Mus musculus: one gene and its partner. The protein of the gene in region 1 interacts with the protein of each later gene in a pairwise test. Links are inferred from orthologs where the notes say so. Each region holds a gene or a part of one and is shown on either strand. Other genes may lie near its edges.

Evidence for each region.
Region 2: the proteins of Tpm3 (region 1) and Tnnt1 interact in binary tests that used the Homo sapiens proteins (3 or more experiments, as listed by UniProt). The two-hybrid records come from large-scale screens. The link is inferred for Mus musculus from reciprocal best matches to the Homo sapiens genes TPM3 and TNNT1.

What each region holds. Positions count from the first base shown.
Region 1 is NC_000069.6:90,089,376-90,092,674, reverse strand, and holds the end of Tpm3 (tropomyosin alpha-3 chain), read right to left. Parts: intron 2,879-3,299; coding exon 2,816-2,878; intron 2,666-2,815; coding exon 2,596-2,665; intron 1,663-2,595; coding exon 1,584-1,662; coding exon of another isoform or gene 1,580-1,583; intron 745-1,579; coding exon 741-744; 3' UTR 545-740; downstream 1-544. UniProt on the Homo sapiens protein: Binds to actin filaments in muscle and non-muscle cells. Plays a central role, in association with the troponin complex, in the calcium dependent regulation of vertebrate striated muscle contraction.
Region 2 is NC_000073.6:4,505,901-4,509,719, reverse strand, and holds part of Tnnt1 (troponin T, slow skeletal muscle), read left to right. Parts: intron 1-84; coding exon 85-162; intron 163-595; coding exon 596-709; intron 710-1,136; coding exon 1,137-1,246; intron 1,247-2,107; coding exon 2,108-2,198; intron 2,199-2,296; coding exon 2,297-2,337; intron 2,338-3,819. UniProt on the Homo sapiens protein: Troponin T is the tropomyosin-binding subunit of troponin, the thin filament regulatory complex which confers calcium-sensitivity to striated muscle actomyosin ATPase activity.

The DNA of each region.
Region 1 (3,299 bases):
CTTTGCCCATCATTTGCCGTGTGCGTCCTATAGAGGACAATGGCAGCAGCCTCGAGTGAGCGAGAAATGAGAAAGGCTTAAAGATGAAACACCTATCTATCAAGAATCCAACCCGCCATGTTACACCTTCCTCTGTGAGTTGGGATGATCACTTAACTGTAAGGATGGGTCCGAGGATGTAGTTTCTGAGTCTTGGGCAAAAGGGCAGAGTGATAGGAGCTAAATCAATGGTCACTGACCTTACTGTACGGGAGAGGGGCTAAAAGAATGAAAATGTCCAGGTGGGCTATGTAAGAACTCCTCAGTAAGGTTTGAGGAATAGCACCAGACTTCCCACCATGAGAAGCCTTTACTGGTCACTCGGACAAGACTCCAATCAGCAAGTTTAAGTGTCAAGAAAAACACACACACAAAGTAGCTTTGATCATACAGAAGTTGGAAGAGGGGAAGCCTAATACAGCTGTCCCCACATCACACTGGCAGGACTCCTTCTTATGTACACCAACAACTTTGTCAATAACACAAATGCAAGAGGCCGTGAGGCTTCTGGCAGCTTAACATTTTAATATGGGGTTGGAAAGCAAATATGTAAATTGCTTTGTGTGCCCCCCCCCAAGGCCCTCCAGCCCTAAGGCTGTAGGAACCAGCCAGGCTGACCCAAATGGAATCCAGAGCGAGTGGGGTGTTGGGTTCCCCAAGGAAAGGGGGCAGATCCAGAACAGGGCAGAAACGGTGACAGTTTATCTGTATGAAAAAGGACACTCCAGGTGAGAAGGGCGGGCTCAACTGAGGCAGCAGCTTAGGAAGAAGGAACAAGAGCGACAGAGCAGGAGGAGAGAAAGCCAGACACACGCACGGGCTGCAACACTCTCCCAGGGTTAGTGGGAAGACGCTGCAGGTTAGCACCAACAGATCCACAGCAAACAGGTAAAGTCCCCCAAATCTTTTGGTGCTGTTTACTGCTTGGCTTGCTTTGGGACTCAGCTCAAAACTGGCTGCTTCTCACCCTGGGTATGTCCCATTAAGTTTAGTATCAGGGCACAAATCAGAACCTCTACACATAACCCTAGCAGTCCTGGAATTCATCATTTAGTCCAAGATGGCCTCGAATTCTAGAAATCCAACCACTCACGCCAGGACTAAAGGTGAACGCCACCATGACTGCTCTGTTTTGCTTTTGAGACTCAGTCTTGCCACCCAGCATCAGCTGGCCTTGAACCTGCACCAATCCTTCTGTGTTAGCATCTAGGTGGCTTGGCTTACAGCTGTGTGTCACCCTGCCTAGTTTTGAGAAACCAAAGTGAGAACTCAGTGAGAAGGAGAGCTGGGCACAGTGGCACGTGGCTGTCACTTTAGAGGTTGGAGTCTAAGGTCGATATGGCTTATATAAGACCCTGTTAGAACTAGATGGGAGAATAAGAGAAAATACAAATTACATGAAGATTAAAAGGCTCCCCAAACAGATAACCAGCACCAACATTTGTTTGCAAGTGGGTGGAGACTGCAGATTCAAGGACAAAACCCAAGCACAGTCTTCACCCACCCGCCAGGATTCCAACCCCACGCTGCTGCCTGATAGTTACATAGAGGTCATGTCATTGAGGGCGTGGTCCAGCTCGTCGCTAATGGCCTTGTACTTCAGTTTCTGGGCATAGAGCTCGTCTGGACAGGCACAGGAACCACAGGGATGATGGAGGGGATAAAGTGAAAGGTGTCAGAAGCAGATGAAGAGAGGGAGTCATTAGAAAATAGGAAAACTGTGACCATAGGTCTAAATCCAGGAAGGAAAAACAAACTATTCTGGAAAAAAACATAAAAACTATCCTGGCAGCCATGACCGACCTCTTTCCCCAACAGCTAATCGTACTTCCTGATGTCTCGTCAAGTCAACTGCGGCAAGAACTGAGAACCTGAACACATGCCAGCACTGCAGGCACCCAAAGCCACCTCTCCCACCCAATTCTGAAGCAGTGCTAACACTTAAGGAAGACAGAGAAGGGAGAAGGCACAGCAGTCTTAGTGACTCTCCTCTGCCTACTCAGGGTGGTCACCACTCCGGTTCTACGGCCGCCTCCCCGAACCCTTTCCCAGACCATCCAACACCAAGAGCGTATCAAGGAAGTTAGTCTCAAAGCAAAGGACTTGTTTCTTTGTTAAGGTGGACAGACAAAGCTGCCAAACTACAAGAACAAGAAGCCCTGACTGTTTGATCTGTTCAGGCTGCAAGACTTGGTTGTTATCTCCTGCAGGTGTCACCCGGCCTGAATGATAAAAAGAGATACCCAAAGTGGCCATGGGGTGGCATGCACAAAACCATGGCTTCCATTTCAACTCACAGTCAAGATTTAAGATATCTGAGATCAAATTGGAGATAAATACAGCCATTACATCTTTTCAAAGGATGGATGGCAGATTCCAGAAATAAGTAGACTTACTATAAAGGAAAAGATTTAAAAATCCTGCAAGTCTAGCATTAACACAGGACAGGACGCATCCAATATTCCAAGTCACTACCATTTCTCTGATGCACAGACCAAAGGCTCAAGATTAGCGGGCAAGGCCTTCCTTTCTCACACGCCCTCATGTGCTCCATACCTTCCAGGTCATCAATGGTCTTCTCCAGCTTGGCTACCGATCTTTCAGCAAACTCAGCACGGGTCTCTGCCTGAGGAAGCACAACAACAAACAGAATGAAAGATGGTTACTTCCTCCTCTCGTGCCTCTAAGCCATTTGAGCCAAGGCCAGCAAGGCTCAGGATTAATATTACAATATTAACGCCTCCTATCGTTCATGCGGCTCAGCCCCTCAGCTCACCTCCTTGAGTTTATCAGTAAGAATCTTTATTTCTTCTTCATACTTGTCTTCTTTTTGAGAGTACTGTAAAGAAAAGTAGAATACAAATTTCAGAGTAGAGACCATCTCACAGACAACAGCCATATTATTCTCACATAAGTCATAGACATTCTTCTGGATTTGATTTGGTCCAGGACTAAAAAAAGCAAGAGTCCTAAGACCCAACTATCTGCAAACAAAACTTGCAGTGTAAACTTCACCAGGACCTTTTTTTTTCTTTTGTTAACAGACCTAAATTTTCATCCTACTTCTGTCAACCCAAAGTGCTTTTCCTTTCTCCAAGTTAACGAGCAGGAATCGACAGTTAAAGCATCCCTCATGATGGTAAGTGGCAATCATCTGCCCTGACTGCTCCTAGACAGGTCTCGAGAGCTGGCGCTCTGTTGCCCCATCTTATGCTCCTTATAACTGATTTTGAGCACGGCAGTATCAACTCAAGGAGCAC
Region 2 (3,819 bases), on another chromosome or scaffold:
CTGGTGGAGGGACAACTTGTGGGAGGGGATAGCCTCCAAGAACCCCCACATTCCCTGCCCCAATCTTCCCCTTAATACCCCTAGGAGAGGCGACGCGCAGAGAGAGCTGAGCAACAGCGCTTCAGAACGGAAAAGGAGCGAGAACGCCAGGCCAAGCTGGCGGTAGGTGTCTGTCCTTTCCCTATAGGAGAATACTTTATTTCCCATTTTGATACTCTCTACGGTTCTCAGAAAGTCCCTGTAATGTCTAGCATAAGGATTTTCCTATTGGAAGGGTGAACAGTGCATATAAATAAAAAGTCTGCGGCTGATCTAGCTTCAGGCAGGGCTGGACTAAGAGACTTAAGCCACAGCACAAAGGCTGAGCTTTGCTGGGTATGATGGCCTCAGACCTATGATCCCAGTACAGGAGAAGCCGAGGCAGGAGGATTTTGTGAATTTGAGGCTAGCCTGAACTATATACCAAGTTAAGGAGTGGCTCTCTCCGTGGCTCCAACTTCACTTATGGAGATGCTAAGCCATCAACTACCCAGGCTAGGCTCTTCCTCCATCAGGTATGTAAGGCCACATGTCGTGGACCCCTTTGTTCTCACAGGAGGAGAAGATGCGGAAGGAGGAGGAGGAGGCAAAGAAGAGAGCAGAGGATGACGCCAAGAAGAAGAAAGTTCTGTCCAACATGGGAGCTCATTTTGGGGGCTACCTGGTCAAGGTGAGTCTAGCCTGTGGAAATCTGCGTCTACAAGGAGGGAAGGGAAACTTGAGGGTGCTGGACCTCATCCAGGGCCAGCTGTCACTGTAGATAGCATGCGGCAAGTAGGTGAGGGAGACACTCTGCTGATTGTCTCTGTCCCTCTTCCGGCCACAATGTTCCTCTGGTGGTGCCTGGGTGTGAGGGAAGAAGACCGGGGCCTGTACGCTTGAGGGAGGGGGCACGGAATTTGAGTTCCTGAGTCTGAGGAGAGAGGGCTGGAGCCTGGAGCTCTGGGACTGAGGGAGGAGGAGGCTGAGGCTGGACCCCTGAGTGTCTGAAGGGGGAGGGCTGAGATGTACTCCTTGCATGTGGTGGAGGCACTGGCCTTGCTGAGTGGATTTAGCCTCCAGGTTCTATCCCTGGCTTGGGATTCCTCCCACTCCAGGCAGAACAGAAGCGTGGGAAGCGACAGACTGGTCGGGAGATGAAACTCCGGATTCTGTCTGAGAGGAAAAAGCCCTTGAACATCGACTACATGGGGGAGGACCAGCTCCGGTAGGTCCTGGCAGCTCTCAAAAGGCTTCCACGGGCGATACTCCGGGTCTGAGCCTTGGTGCTGTGTTACTTCAGGCAATTGGCACTCCTTTTTCTGGGCCACTGTTGCTTTCTATGTTCAAAATGTCACTCAAATGCAAGCTACCCGGTGGATGGCCTGGCCTGTAGTGTCTGGCATCCACAGTGCCCCCTTCCGTATTTAGGTGGAATTGCAGCATTCAGGGAGGAGGTAGGAGGATCAATTCAGGGTCATCCTCTACTGTATATTGAGCTGGAGGCCAGACTTCACACACACACACACACACACACACACGCACGCACGCACGCACGCACGCACGCACGCACGCACGTACGTACGCACGCACACACACACACACACGCGCGCGCGCGCACACACACACACACGCACGCACACACACACGCACACACACACACGCACACACACACGCACACGCACGCACACACACACACACACGCGCACACACACACACGCACACACACACGCACACGCACGCGCGCGCGCACACACGCACGCGCGCACGCGCACACACACACACACACACACACACACACACACACACACACACACACACGCACGCACGCACTATGTAAGTAATAAAAACCAAACGGCTTTCACTCTGGGGCTCATAGCCATTACTTCCGGAGACTTCCATTTAGGAACTTCTGTTTCAGAAAGTGGTCACACATTTGAAAACCTTTTGTGGGCAATTTAGCAAGAGTGTAGCGACTATACCAATCCCAAAGAGACTTGCTGCATGGCTTGGGGTAAGTGGCTCGACCTCTCTGGACTCAGAGGGCAGCCTGGATCTTGCTGCATCCTGGTCCTTCTCGACCTGCTAGGGAAAAGGCCCAGGAGCTGTCAGAATGGATCCACCAGCTGGAATCAGAAAAATTTGACCTGATGGAGAAGTTGAAGCAACAGAAATATGAGGTGAGACCTACCTGCCTCTGTTGGGGCCCAGGCTGGGTGACAGGTGTGGCAGGTGGCCCTGGTTGGACATCTACCTAGCCTGGTCTCCTGCTCCACAGATCAATGTGCTCTACAACCGCATCAGCCACGCCCAGAAATTGTGAGTGCCACTCCCAACCTCCACAGACGGCTCCTTCTGTTCCCTCCCTCCCTCCCTCCCTCCCTCCCTCCCTCCCTCCCTCCCTCCCTCCCTCCCTCCCTCCCTCCCTCCCTCCCTCCTTCGGCTGCTTCTGCATACCACTGCCCTTTTGGCACCTCCTGTCTGTTTCCTGAGACATCCTATCCGTATCTGTTCTTGTGGGTTTATTTATTGGCTTTTTTTGTCTGTTTAATTTGCTTATTATTTCAAGGCAAAGTCTGTTTTGTTTGGTTTGGTTTGGTTTGGTTTTTCGAGACAGGGTTTTCTCTGTATAGTCCTGGCTGTCCTGGAACTCACTCTGTAAAGCAGGCTGGCCTCGAACTCAGAAATCTGCCTGCCTCTGTCTCCCAAGTGCTGGGATTAAAGGAGTGTGCCACCACTGCCCGCTCAAGACAAAGTCTTACTTGGTAGTTCAGGCTGGCTTAGAACTCACTGTGTAGCCCAGGCTGGCTTTGAATGTGTAAGCAGATCTTTTTGTCTCAAACCAGTGGAATGCTGGGATAGTTGATGTGACTTACCTACCATTCCTGGTTTTTTGTTGGACTGCTTATTTATTTTTAAGTCAAGGTTTCACATAGCCCAGACTCACTAGGAAGCTGAGGCTGGCCTTGAACTACTGATCCTCTGGATTCAGCCTCAGGAGGGCTGGGGTTATTGGCCTGCACTACAGTCTTTTGCTTTTCTTTATCAGCTCTTAGGTTTCAGTCTCACTCCCGGTCTGTATTCCTCCAATTCTTTTCTGAGTACATATTATTTTACACCATTTTTTGCATCATGTTTACATGCACACAGTGTGTACATGTGTATGTGTGTTTGTGTATGGGTGTATGTGTAGGTATGTATATGTATATGGGTGTATGAGTGTGTTCGGGTATGACTGTGTGTGTGTGTGTGTATGGGTGTATGTGTAGGTGTGTATATGTATATGGGTGTATGAGTGTGTTCGGGTATGACTGTGTGTGTGTGTGTATGGGTGTATGTGTAGGTGTGTATATGTATATGGGTGTATGAGTGTGTTCGGGTATGACTGTGTGTGTGTGTGTGTGTGTGTGTATGGGTGTATGTGTAGGTGTGTATATGTATATGGGTGTATGAGTGTGTTCGGGTATGACTGTGTGTGTGTGTGTATGGGTGTATGTGTAGGTGTGTATATGTATATGGGTGTATGAGTGTGTTCGGGTATGACTGTGTGTGTGTGTGTGCCCACAGAGACCAGACGTTTGTATCCACTGGAGCTAAATTACAGGCAGTTGTGCACCATACAACATGTGGAGTGTGCTCAGGAGACTTGGAAGACTTGGTTTCTTCTTCCTTGTGGTCCCAGGGATAAGGCTCAGATCTTAGGTTTGGCTGCAAGCACCTTTACCTGCTAACCCATCTCGCTGGCCTCTCTCTCTCCCTTTCTCTCTTTGTCCCTCCCTCTTCTGCCAGTTTTCCTTCTCT